Linked DNA regions of Neurospora crassa OR74A. The protein of the gene in region 2 interacts with the protein of the main gene of each other region in a pairwise test. Links are inferred from orthologs where the notes say so. Each region holds a gene or a part of one and is shown on either strand. Other genes may lie near its edges.

The links.
Region 1: the proteins of NCU03952 (region 2) and NCU09437 interact in binary tests that used the Saccharomyces cerevisiae proteins (3 or more experiments, as listed by UniProt). The link is inferred for Neurospora crassa OR74A from reciprocal best matches to the Saccharomyces cerevisiae genes MPP10 and UTP22.
Region 3: the proteins of NCU03952 (region 2) and NCU04243 interact in binary tests that used the Saccharomyces cerevisiae proteins (3 or more experiments, as listed by UniProt). The link is inferred for Neurospora crassa OR74A from reciprocal best matches to the Saccharomyces cerevisiae genes MPP10 and IMP4.

The regions. Positions count from the first base shown.
Region 1 is NC_026507.1:182,359-186,955, reverse strand, and holds the start of NCU09437 (hypothetical protein), read left to right. Parts: upstream 1-1,598; 5' UTR 1,599-1,683; coding exon 1,684-4,597. UniProt on the Saccharomyces cerevisiae protein: Involved in nucleolar processing of pre-18S ribosomal RNA and ribosome assembly.
Region 2 is NC_026506.1:2,220,915-2,225,395, forward strand, and holds the start of NCU03952 (U3 small nucleolar ribonucleoprotein Mpp10), read left to right. Parts: upstream 1-1,458; 5' UTR 1,459-1,867; coding exon 1,868-4,246; 3' UTR 4,247-4,481. UniProt on the Saccharomyces cerevisiae protein: Involved in nucleolar processing of pre-18S ribosomal RNA. Required for the early cleavages at sites A0, A1 and A2 during 18S ribosomal pre-RNA processing.
Region 3 is NC_026505.1:5,331,339-5,335,825, forward strand, and holds NCU04243 (U3 small nucleolar ribonucleoprotein IMP4), read left to right. Parts: upstream 1-1,653; 5' UTR 1,654-1,903; coding exon 1,904-1,909; intron 1,910-1,977; coding exon 1,978-2,436; intron 2,437-2,499; coding exon 2,500-2,922; 3' UTR 2,923-3,788; downstream 3,789-4,487. Other genes in the region: prd-6 (ATP-dependent helicase NAM7), read right to left, coding at 1-727. UniProt on the Saccharomyces cerevisiae protein: Required for the early cleavages at sites A0, A1 and A2 during 18S ribosomal pre-RNA processing.

The DNA of each region.
Region 1 (4,597 bases), on a different chromosome or scaffold from region 2:
AATAGAGATCTCTAGTTTATCTACGGAAGTTCTAATAATTTCGAGGTTTCTAGCATCAAAACCGGCCTTCTTAATAATAAAATCCTTATAAATTCCGGCTAGCGTAGCTATACAACCGAACCAGGGAATACTTCTCGGTAATAAAGGTCGTAAGGTATATAAGTACTAAAATTCCTTTCTAAAATCACACTATTCTAATACGCAATATAATTTATCGATAGCGAAAAGACTAATCCGTTTATAGAATTCTAGGGACCGCAATACAGCCTTAAATTTCGTACTTATCGTAAGTTCCGGGCTCAATAGAATATAAGTATAATCGCCGCATTAAATTTAGTCCCAAATATCCCAGTTCTATATATAAATTAATAAAGGTACTTAAGATTCGTAAAAAAGGGCAGAATACTTACTTTTAAAGTCACATCTTTATTTACCTATACTAGCTTTAAATCTAGCACTTTAGTAATAATATTATTATATTAACTTTCTCCAAACTTAATTAACAGTATAATCTATATTGTAATTTTATTATATAAAGCTAAAAATATATATAGGACAATACTTTTTCCGTAGCCCATTACTGCGACTAATATTATATCCTTCTATTCGTACGCCAACCGTACTACCGCCTTAACCTAGCCTTTTCGAGGGTCTTTACTATTACTAATAATATCTTTTATTACCCGCAATATACGCTAGGGGTCAACGGAGGGATCGAAATTAGGATCTATAGTATTAATACCTATAGAGGATAGAAAAAATTAAGGAAAAAAAATAACGTACTATAGAGTAAAGAAAACTATACTACTATATTAATAGTCGTATAATATCTATACCTACAAAGTTTTATAGTATTGGGATAAAAAGCCGTACTGTAATATATAGCTAACTAGGCATTGAATATACGGACTTACGTAAAGTTTTTACATTTTCTATAATAATTAATACTTTCAATAGTCGTAGAAAAAAATTAATAATACCATTAAATCCGTCTCAACGAACTCTTTCTCCTCATATCTTTTGTATAACCTAAATCTATTGTTTTATTTTAACGCTATATTATCTTTCTTAGAAGTTTATCAATATAAATTCCCCTATCCGCTTCTAGTCTAATTGGGAATTCAAACCTCTTTTTTAGGCGTTCTTATTCAATACCGGAAAGTATACTAAAAGAATGGGTACACGGATCACAATTTAGAAACTTTAGTAACTTTCAATTTATTATTTTTTTTGAGAACCCCGGGCGCGCAGCGCACGGGCCAGATGTGCGCGCAGCGCACTTTCCCAGCGGCCGCAGGCCGCCCATGCCTAAAAAAGAGGGTCTGATTCTGAGATAAGGGCCGGGCGCTCACTGTCTGTCAGTTGAACCCCACAGGGGCAACCAACCAACATTGCCCCACCCGACTGCCCCTGTCGGGTCTTCCACTGCCCCTGTTTGTGGATTGACCTCTTATCTCTTATCGGAGCTCCAGAGTCTCAAAAAATTTGGGAATTCCCGTCGCAAACTTGAACGAGACTCGAATTTGCAGAACTTCAATTGGAGGGACGACGCTCGGTCCACTGTTGTTTGGCTTTCAGTGCTCTCTCTCTCAGTGTCTTGTCACTATCAATTTCCTGTCTCCATTCCCAGGACATCCTCCTCCACCATCACCATCATATACCTATACCACCGCCACACATACAATGGAACCCGGATCAGCAAAACGACGCAAGATTGGCCATTCACGCGGCGGTGAAAGCGCAGTTGGCAACATCGACGCCGCTGCCTCCTCGGGTCTCTCGCGTGGCCGCGCATTCATCCTCGAAGCCGAAGAACTCGTCGACGAAGTGAAGCTCGACTATGCCACGGCCCTCGAAGGCGTCGACTCCCTCCTCCACAAGATCAAGGGCTCCATCGAAGCCATCGAAGCCCACGATGCCCTCCAGATCGCCGAGGCTGCCACCAAACTCGAAAAGAAACACAAGATCCCGATCCCGTTCCCCGAGCCGCGCCCGTCCGACAAGTCCAACTACAAGGTCGCCTTCGCAAAGCCTTCCCAGTTCAACGTTGTCGGCAGCTATGTGTCCAAGACCATGATCAAGGCCCAAAAGAGCCATGCTGTGGATATGGTGGTTGTGATCCCCGGCGAGACTCTGCAAGAGAAGGACTACCTCGACCTGCGATACTTTTACAAGAGAGCCTACTTCCTCGGTGTTGTGGCTGCTGCCCTACAAAAGGACCTGGCTGATGATGGAGAGCTTTCATACGAATACCTGAATGGGAACACCCTGTCCCCCATTTTGTCGTTGAAACCAAAGGTGGAAGGAGAAAAAAAGGAGGGCCAGCTGGACTACAGAGTGCGCATCATCCCTTGCGCCCCAGACAACTTCTTCCCCAAATCAAAGCTTCACTTGGGCGCTACCCTCGTGCGCAAAGCTGGCGGTGACGAGTCCAAGGCCGCGACCAAGCCTACGCCCTTCTACAACTCGACGATTGTTTCCGAGTCCTGCTTCTTTCCCTACTTGAAGCTCTTGCGACAAACCGAAAAGAAATGCGCCGCGTTCAAGAAGGCTTGCATCCTGGGTCGGGTGTGGTTGCAACAACGAGGACTGGGAAGCGATATGGCGGACGGTGGTTTTGGTCACTTTGAATGGGCGGTACTTTTGGCCCTTCTGCTCCAAAGCGGCGACAGCACCAAGGGACATGCGCCCTTGTCTACATCCCTGAGCGCCACCCAGTTGTTCAAGGCCATGGTCCAGTTCTTGTCTGTTACTAACCTGTCCGAGAAGCCGTGTGTTTTGGGAACTGCCACCGTCGAGTCCGAAACCACTGGTCCGGTTCTCTTCGACGCTGTTCGTGGTTTGAACGTTGCCTTCAAGATGAGCAACTGGTCTGCGGCCAAGCTACACCAACACGCCAAGTGGACAAGGAGCCTTCTCAACGACAGCACTGCCGACCAGTTTACCCCTACCTTCATCCTCAAGGCCGACCTCCCCTGGCAAAACTACGACCTCATTGCCCACCTCAACTACGATGGAAAGCAGGACAAGACAGAACCGATTGACTGCCGGGGACGGCTATGGGAATACAGCGACAAGGTGCACAGGGTTCTCAAGCGGGCTCTTCAGGACGAAGAACTAGGTGAAAGGGCTCGGTCGATTCACATTCAACTACCCAAGAGCTCATCCTGGGATCTCACCAAGAAACCCTCCACCAAGCAGAACCACACAATCGAGATTGGTGTCCTCTTCAATGCCGCCAACATGACCCGCTCTGTCGACCGCGGTCCGGCCGCTGGACCTAGCAACGAGGAGAAGGAGGAATGCGCCAAGTTCCAGCGGTTCTGGGGTGAGAAATCGGAACTTCGTCGGTTCGAGGGTGATTCTATCAGGGAGACCTTGATCTGGTCGTCCACCTCCCCCTTTGACCTCTGCGAGGAAATTATGCGCTACATCCTCAAGCTCCATCTTCGCGTTGGCTACCTCGAGGACGAGCTCACCTTCCACGGCGATGGCTTCACCGAGTTGATTCCTATCAAGCCGACCGACACCTCCGTCTTCAACGCCGCTCGCAAGGCCTTTTCCTCCTTCGAGAAGGATATCCGCGACTTGGACGACATGCCGCTGCACGTCAGGCAAATAGCCCCCATCTGCCCCGAACTGCGACACGCCTCCGTCAAGGTGCCCTTCTCGACCGTCAACAAATCCGGCCCACGCCCCCTGGAATGCGTCATCTCCTTTGAAGCCTCCGGCAAGTGGCCCGAATCCATCGTGGCCATCCAACGCACCAAGATCGCCTTCCTGCGCATGATCGGCGACCTCCTGGAGCGTTCCAAGCCCGGCGAGGTCCGCTCTTACGTCGGTCTCGAGTCCTCTACCACCACCAACACGGAACTCGAGAACCTCGCCTACCTCGACATCGTCTACGAGTCCGGTCCTGCCTTCCGCCTGCGCATCCACTCTGACCTCGAAGAGGCCCTCCTCACGCGCCAATCGCACGACAAGACCATCGACCAACACCACCGCCACCAAGCCTCCGTGCTCCTCTCCAACTTCCGCAGACTCTACTACCACCTCCCTCTGCACACTCAATCCATCAACACCTTCGCCACCCGCTTCCCCGCCTTCTCGCCCACCGTCCGCCTGCTCAAACACTGGTTCTCCTCACACAAACTCGCCTCCCACTTCACCCCCGACTTCATTGAACTCGTCGCCCTCCAGACTTTCTTGAGCCCCTACCCCTGGGACGCACCCTCCTCCCCTTCCGTCGGCCTTCTCCGCGCCCTCCTCTTCGTCAGCAGATGGGACTGGCGCTCCGAGCCGCTCATCGTCGACACCAACAGCGACATGCCATCGTCCGAACGCTCCGCCATCGCCACCCGTCTCGAAGCCTGGCGCAAGATCGATCCGCTCATGAACCACACCGTCCTCTTCGTCGCCACGGCGCAGGAATCTTCCGGCGTCGCTTACACCACCGTCAACGGCATCGCGCAACCCAGCAAAGTCGTCGCAGCACGCATGACTGCCCTCGCCAAGACCGCCTGCCACGTTATTCGCGAAGAGGGCGTCGAGCTGGACGCTAGACGGCTGTTCGTCCCCAGTACGAAGGAATATGATG
Region 2 (4,481 bases):
CTGCCAGAAGGGAGGCGGATATGGAAAATAGAAAAGAATGAATCGGCCCGTCCGGATTTTCACAAGGAGATCTCCTTCGCTTGACAAATTAGGTAACATCCGGCAACTCAAAAGTATTTCCCGTCCCTCCATCTCGACGTATCTTCCAGCTCTGTAACCAAACAGTGTGCGATTGGCAGTTACATAGTGTGAGCCAACCGAAACTTCTCTCGCGACCTCCTGTACGACTTTGGAAATGTTGCCGTTAACTTGGCCATTCTACTCTAGGTAGGTAGCAGAGATAGATGGTGTGATGCGATTGGACCGAGCAACGCCACTTAGCGATCAAGTTCATGTGTCGTACTATACAGGAGGCCACTGACACTTGATGGGATCCTCGCCGTTCACGACAGCAAGTTAGTGGTTACATAGCAAACATCTTCACCGTGAGGTTCACAGTTATTTCCCGGCGAACATGAAAAAGAGGTCATATTGAGAGCACGCAACGCACGACCATAGAGGCTGGGATCACCAAAGCCACCATCGCCCTCACATTGACCTCGGCAACCGCTAAAGAACATGATACAATTCCCTGGCCTGGGATACGAAGGTCTTGAGTATCACTCGCAGCTCGGCTCGGCGGGACACTCTCCCGCGAGTTGCATTCAATGAAGGCTTAGACGGTCCAGACCCTAATGCAGCACGTCAACGCTGCTGTCGTATTTTGAAAGAATACCTCATGGTCCGTCAAAATTCTCACGGGCGATACCATATGCATAGGGATGTGGCTTGTGAAGGAACTTCAACAAGTGTTATGACTTGCAGCATCTTTCCCCGAAGGTGCGCAAATAACACCCTTACATTTCTACTATGTAATAAGAGCTTTCTCTGCACGTTATCCAGACCATGAAGAAGAGCCGGCTGGGTAAGTAGCCTACCTCTACAGAAAATAGTCCATCAACGTCTGTCGCAGAGATCTCATTACGATGTTGAAAAGAACACGAGAAGCATACTGTAATGTAGCTAGTATGAGGCAAACCTAGCGCTCTTCCTCAATGGGGTTAATCGTTGGTTTAACATTTTACAGTTCTTGCACAATTTAATTACCTTTTACCGTTTGACAAGAAACTTCCAGTTACGACGAAAGTGAAGCGGCGAAAGATACAATAGACTATGTACGAGCTGATGGGATTGATAGGGTAGTCTGGAATTTTAGATAAGGAAGTGCTGATAACAAGCTAGGTGCCTGTGTCGAAACGGCGACTTCACCTATCCAACAGCACTGGAGATCGTTGCGTGATTGCTTACTGAGTTTCCAGTAACTTCAGAGTAACTCGCTAGCGTATGCTATATTTAAAAAAAGGTCATTGTGAATTCATCCCCTCTCTCAAGCTTGATGTCGAGCATCTCCTTTGAGACTGCATGCACTTTGTGGTTTGTTTACTTGACATTGTCATCCGATTATAAGTGTTAAGGCAACCTCGTCTTATAGCGGTGCACCGCCCTGAAGCTTAACAACAAGAGAAGTGGGACCTACTTCCATTTCCAGAGAGCAGAATCACCCATCATTGGTCAATTCACAGCCAGCCCCATAAGCTGGTGCGGGGACGCCTGCCTCCACGCTTCGCCGTTTCCTGGACCTTGGAGAGCGCTATGGCAGAAAAAATTTTGGTCCATCAATATCGCCGGCTGGCAACCAAACATCGTCAGGTCGAACTTTTTTTTGTTTTGGTACGGGCAACGGCAAACACCGACGCCCTGCCATTTCTTAGTCAAGCGTCCATATTGAACCCTCAAGTCAGACACTTGTATGACAAGGCCAGCCTCGATACCCTAGCCTTGATTGATCTTCTTACAGCATTAGTCCAACCCTACCTAAAAAACAGACATGGCAGCTGGCAGCATAACCTCTTCCGTAACCTCGACATCCCAAACAATCACCCACGACCCCTCCACACACAACAGCGTCATGGCCGCTACCCTCGCCGCATCGTCGAGCGGCAGCACCTCTCCTTCGACAATTGCCAACAACCCCGTCGTCGCCTCCTTCCTCTCGGCCCTGGCCGACGAGTCCAACCGCCACGTCTTCCTGCAGCCGCCCTCGACCCTTCCCGCCGGATCCCTCCTGCTCGCCAAGGAGACCCTCGACGCGCTCGCCTCGCAGGTCAGTGACCACCAGCAGGCAAAGCTGAAAGAGATCGCGGCCACCATCGGTGGAAAGAAGCGCAAGCGTGAGGCTGGCTATGACAAGAATGCCGTGCTCAAGATTCGCAAGCTGCACGTCGACGACGGCTTCGAGACGGAGCAGATTTGGCAGCAGGCCAAGAAGATCATTGCCAGCGCCACAAAGGAGGCTGGCGATGTGCTGAAGGAGCTGGAGGAGAACGGGATTGTGGGCACCGGCGAGGAACAAGAGAAGACCATTGAGTTTGGAGAGGATGGGTTTGAGCTTGGTTCTGATGAGGAGGAGGAGGACGATGAGGAGGATGCTGATAGCGAATCTGGTTCTGGCTCTGAAGGAGAAGAGGATGAGGAGGATGACGAAGAAGAATTAGAAGGAGAAGAGGGCAGCCAGATCGACGACGATGAAGAAATCGAGATCGATGGCGAAGAGGTTGAATTCTCGGACGAAGATGGAGAAGGAGAGTTTGATGAGGAGGAGGAGGAAGAAGAAGAAGAAGAAGAAGAAGAAGAAGAGGAAGAGGATGCGCCAGAACTTGTCGAGGATCCCAACGGCCTCAACGACGGCTTCTTCTCAATAGACGACTTCAACCGGCAGACACAGTTGTGGGAGGACGCGGATGCCCGTGCGGACCCCAACGTCGATGCCGACAGCGACGACGAACAGCTAGACTGGCACGCCGATCCTTTCGCGACAAAGCCAAAATCAAAGAAGGGCAAGAGCGACAAGAAGAAGGACGAAGACCAGGATGAGGACGACGTCGACATGGGCGATGAATCCGAAGACGACGAGGCCCTCGAGGCTGCTGCCGCCGCCCACGCCAAGAAACTCAAGGGCAAGAAGAACGTGGAGCAGCTCGAGGACGATGGCGACGATCTCGGCCTTACAGATGGTGTTCTCGGTATGGACATGGACCTTACCGCCAACGACATTTACTACAAGGACTTCTTCGCGCCACCTCAAAAGAAGAAGACCGGCAACCAAAGGAAAGGAGGCTATTTCCCCAAGAAACTTGAGCAGCCAGATGAGGCCGATATGGAGAGAGCCGAGAATGATGTGCGCCGCGATCTCTTCGACGACATCTCGGAGAATGAAGATGAAGATAAGCTCTCGGATCTTGATGCTGGTGATCCGAGATCTCGCCGGTCCGCCCACGAGCGCAGACAAGCCAAGATTGCCGAGGAGATCCGCAGGCTCGAGTCTGAGCTAGTTGCCAAGCGCGCCTGGACTCTGTCCGGTGAGGCTTCCGCGCAAGCTCGTCCCATGAACTCGCTCCTGGAGGAAGACCTCGAGTTTGAGCATGTCGGAAAGCCTGTCCCCGTCATTACCGAGGAGGTTTCCGAGACGATTGAGGCGCTCATCAAACGCCGCATTCTTGCCAACGAGTTCGACGAGGTTCTCAGGAGACGTCCTGACACCCTCAATAACCCCAACAACGCGCGCCGCGGTCTCGTTGAGATCGACGACACCAAGGGCAAGCAGTCTCTCGCCGAGATCTACGAGGAGGAGCACATCAAGAAGGCCAACCCGGACGAGTACGTCAGCGCTTCGGACGAGAAGCTCACGCGCGACGAGGCCGAGATCAAGAACATGTGGAAGGACATCTGCGCCAAGCTCGACGCCCTCAGCAGCTGGCACTACAAGCCTAAACCCGCCGCACCCACCATCAGCGTTGTCACCGACGTCGCCACCGTCGCCATGGAGGACGCCATGCCCACCACGGCCCAGGGTGTGTCGGGTGGCGAGAGCACGCTCGCGCCCCAGGAGGTGTACGCCCCCGGCAAGGACTCAGTCGAGAAGGGCGAGGTCGTGGCCAAGAGCGGCCTGCCGATTGCCAAGGAGGAGATGAGCCGCGAGGAGAAGGCTAGGAGACGCAGACGCGAGAAGGAGCGCATCCGCAAGGCCGGCGGCCTGGATGCGAACAAGAACATCAGCAAGGGTGCCCAGGAACGCAAGGAGACGATGAGCCAGCTCAAGAAGGGCGGTGTCAAGGTTATTAACCGGAAGGGTGAGACGGTTGGGTTGGATGGCAAGAAGATCGCGGAGCAGAAGGGTCCTACGTCGAGTGGTGCCTTCAAGCTTTAAAGGTCGGGTTGTTAGACGAGGGATAGACGTAGGAAGAAGATGGATGATACCCTGATGGGTTGGACGGGTGGGCAGTCTTGGCTAAGGGCGATCTGTAAAGGTCTTTTTCTTTTGTATGGAATAGGTACATAATTGGGAGTTCAAAAACTATGCATGAGTTTGTTTTTCATCGGCCGTCAGCCGGTATACAATGCTCAACTGTTCACGTTCAACATTGTCGAAGATGATTCTTGTG
Region 3 (4,487 bases), on a different chromosome or scaffold from region 2:
CAATCATGGGCGGCGTGAGATGGCGAGCACGAAGCTGCTCAGCATCCGTGGGAGGGGTGACGAGCCAGTTGAGGAAAGCCCTGTCTTCGATCAAGGGTTGCCACCTGGATATATCCCAGCTCATATCCTTGGTCGACGTACTAGCACCACACGGCTGGCGGCAGAGGAGGACCACAACCGTGTCTGACTTGGCAGGGATGAAACCGAGGATGAAGACATTCTTGGTGCCGCAGTTGTAACATTCGAGGACGGTATCGCCGAGGGAGGACTCGGGGTGAAGTTGAACTTCCTTGTGACGGGCGCGAACAAGGTGGTTGACGATATGGGACGAGAAGGCGCTTCCTTTGGCGCTGCAGAACCACTTGTTACAGGTAAGGCACTTGACGACGCTAGAGGGCGAGTGGATGCCACAGTAGGCACAGGCGTGGGGAGGCAGTTCCTTCTCCTCCACGGGGGCATCCAGCTTGAGGCTCTTCATGCCGTCGACTGGAACGCTGGCCAAACTCTCGTCATCATCGTCATCAAGGACCTCGGTCTCGTTGTCGTCGTCATCGTGGCGGCGTCTACCATTGCCGCGGGGACCACGTCCACCGTAGACACCGTAGAGGAGGTTCTCATCGGGATCGATATTGGACAGTTCGTCGGAGCCACCGGCCTTGATGGCAGCAGCAGAGTCGGAAACCAAGTGGTTTCCAAGGTGTGTGAAGGACACCTCCATGTTGGCCATGATGGCGAGTGGGTTGACGGAGGTAAACTCTGGAGCACCAGCAGCTGGTCAGTAAGTGTCTGGGAGGGAAATTCGCAACAGTAACGTAGGGTCAGGCAGGTATCGTTGGGGAACGAGATAAGTAAGGTACTGTTGGTATACGCCGCGGTCCAGCCTGTAGCTGTTGAGCGGGCTGTTGGGGAGGGATGTGTATTTCAGTGTTTACATGAACATGACACGCAAACAAGCGGCGTACCTTGAAGAGTTCACACCCGGAAGTTTTGTCGAAAGGTAAAAGGTGTGGCTGTCGTATTGCGGGTTGTCGCAATGCGGGACTATGGAAAGATGTAGATTATGGGCTTGGACGTCGTCTAAAAGGTCACATCATCGCATAACGGATTGGATCGGCGAGCGGGCTGTGTTGCGCGCGGGGGCTTTCGAAACGACGACACTGCCAGAACGTCGAGGTGCTGATGCAGAGTGAGACCACTGATCGGCTCGCTTAAGGTTGTTCTTGGTGTTGTGAAGCAAATGGTTTGGTTGCCGCCGTTCAAGGTCACGGTTGTTGTTTGCTTGGGGGAATTTTGCCGGTGGCCGACTTCCGTTCAGTTTGTGTTGGCGGACGGGTCACGGTTGCGGTTCAGGTTGGAGGTTCGTCGTTCCCTTGTTTGATATCCGACGGCCTTCTATCAGCAGCCTCCAGTTCTGGGCTCAGCTGTTTGAGAAGCACGGGCAGTCATAGCGCCTGAAACTGCCCTGTATTCTAGAAAGCGGGCAGCAAGTAGGTAGGTAGGTACTGGGAAACCGGCACAAGCTGCAGCGAAGGGAGCCAGGGTACCTAAGGTGGCGTTGAACCGGGCGACCCAGGCGCGATCTCTTTCCCGGCAGGCGCAAATCGACGGGACCTAAGCCAATAGGTATCCGCCAAGCTGAAAAGATCCGTGCACCTCGCGCTTAGTCCCATTCGATTGTAACTTTTTTCGACTTTTTTCTCTGTGAACACCCCTGTCGTCACCAACCACTCCGCCCTCCACTAGTATCGACCCGGAACATCTGAATTTCTGCCAGTCTTCGCAGCCTTAATTCTTATCGACAACCTCATTACTACCACTTTCGACAACACGACTCTGAGAGCTCGGCGCGATCCCTTCCACCGAATCACTTATTACCGTCTGATAAGCGTGTCAACACAACAAGATGATTGTAAGTGTCCCTGTCTACTCGTCATCTTCTCCAAGTTTCTCAATGTCCATGACTAACATCTGCAATAGAGAAAGCAAGCTCGCCAAAGGCGGGACTACCTTTACCGAAGAGCCCTCCTGCTCAAGGAGGCCGAGGTTGCAGAGAAGCGCGCCAAGCTGAGGTCTGCCCTGGCCTCGGGCAAGCCACTCGACCCCGAGATTGCGAAGGACAAGGAATTGCGAAAGGACTTCGACTACGATGTTTCGAGGGATGTGAACGGAGACGCCATCGATATCGACGACGAATACTCGGAGTTGTCGGGTGTCATTGACCCCAGAATCTTGGTTACGACAAGTCGCGATCCCTCCAGCAGACTCGGCCAGTTCAGCAAGGAAATCCGTCTCCTACTACCCACCAGTGTTCGGCTGAACCGTGGTAACCTCGTTTTGGAAGACCTTGTTGGCGCCGCCAAGGCGCAAAACTTGACGGATGTTGTTTTGCTACACGAGCACCGTGGTGTCCCTACCGCCATGACCATTTCCCATTTCGTACGTTGTCCCTCCAGGCATGTTGTTGTACTTGCAAAACGCATTTTCTAATCCTTGCTATAGCCCCATGGCCCGACGCTCATGGTCTCCCTCCACAACGTCGTTCTCCGCGCCGATATTCCCAAGTCGATAAAGGGCACAGTCAGCGAAAGCTACCCCAGGCTAATTTTCGAGGGCTTCAGCACCAAACTCGGTGAGCGAGTGGTCAAGATCCTCAAGCACCTCTTCCCTCCCCGCGAGCCGACACAGAAACCCAACGTCGGCAACAGAGTCATAACATTTGTCAACAACGACGATACGATTGAGGTCAGGCACCACGTCTATGTCCGCACCTCGTACGACTCGGTCGAGCTCAGTGAGGTTGGACCCCGGTTTACGATGAAGCCCTTCAAGATCACCATGGGCACCCTCGACAACAAGGATGCGGATACCGAATGGCACCTCAGCCAGTACACCAGGACCAGCAGGAAAAAGAACTACTTTTAAGCGGTGATTGGAACAAAAGGGCCGCTATAGTCGTGTTATTATCGGTTGGATTGGGTGGGATGTCACAGCAAGTGAGCATGGCTTCCGAGACAAGTTGCTGCTGGGCCACGAACGTCAAGCACTGGACCTGATGATTGCGCCGGACAAACCTGAAAAAAGGATAGCCAGGGGAAACGCAAAGACACGATCTGGTGGCGGAAAGCCCTTTTCACCAATTTGTCTGCTGCTCAGTAGCAGGAGGCAATGGGAAGACCGCTCAGATGCCTAGCCGAATTCTCGCTTATATTCTCCTCTACCGCCCGAGGTAGTACGTGGCTGGCCAAGATAGCGAGTACTGTGTTCCAGCTTCGGCACTCTAGTGGAACCAGAGATGATCGCATCAACGTCTGACTGGTGATGGGCGTGGTTGCTGGGTCGGCTGCTTGCCGAGTGGCTGTGAGGATCGGAAGGTTCCCGCGGTGAAACGAGCATGTCATGTCTATCAACGACATGTCACACTGGAGGTAACGCACGCAACGATGGGGCTGGAGGATGGGACAAAAAAGGGAGCAGCAGTCTCATGAGATACCAATGTTGGGATTTGGATGTAATTTTAAGAGCATTGGGTTCACATATCAGGAAACGGACCGGAGTTGAGGGTGTAAAGGTATATCATTTCTCAGCTGAGCGCGGAATAAACAAAACATGTGGTCGAACGGGTGCTTCCATTTGGGACTGAGTGCTGGCATGTAAAGAAAGAAAGGCTGTTTGAGCGGCTCAGCAGCAAGGCGGGGACTTGGCTGAAGTGTGCAACTCAATGAGATCAGATCAGAAACATAAAGCAATTGGTCGATGAACTCGAAATATGATCTGCCAAGCTTTCTACCAGTGGGAAGGAAAAGGACCCCTTTTCTCCTTGGGGCTCCATTCCAAACAAAAGGGGGCGCGTCGACGTGGAGACGGTGTTCCGTGGGGCCGCCTGCACGCTCTTTTGAAGGTTCCACACCGGCGATTGGTTCCTCACTTCCAACTCTGGGGACAGCGCAAGTGCCAATTGCCGGTTCACAATTGACGATATCGTCACAGGGCGGCAACAGAAAGATTTGTAGCTTGTCCATTCCTCTGCCATTGGAGAATTAGGCGATCAAAGTTTGCCATCCTCCCGTCCACGTGGTGAATGCGACGATAAGTCGGGGTTCTTGACAGCGGAGATTTTACCACGTTTAACACTCCGAGTTCATGCGGCTGTTAAAGCTGTACTTTGCGGTGCCCTCTTCCTTCCCATCTTTTGACAATAACAAACAACCTCTCAGCAGTCTGAAGTCGTCAGCTCTTGAAGCTTGTGCCTTGATGCTGCATTCCGTGCAGGATGCAGCTGACCTTGGGCACAGCAACAACTGGAGACGTGGGTCGGAAACCCGCTGTGACCGAGACTCTTTTCCCATTGTGGTTTTGAGTCGGAGTCTGGCTCAGCATTCATCATCAACAGAGAGACAGGGATATGGATCATCCATGGCCACGGTTCAAGACAGCTCCGTGGAATGATGTGAAGAAGCTTGGAATATAGTGCAAACTCATCTGCAAAC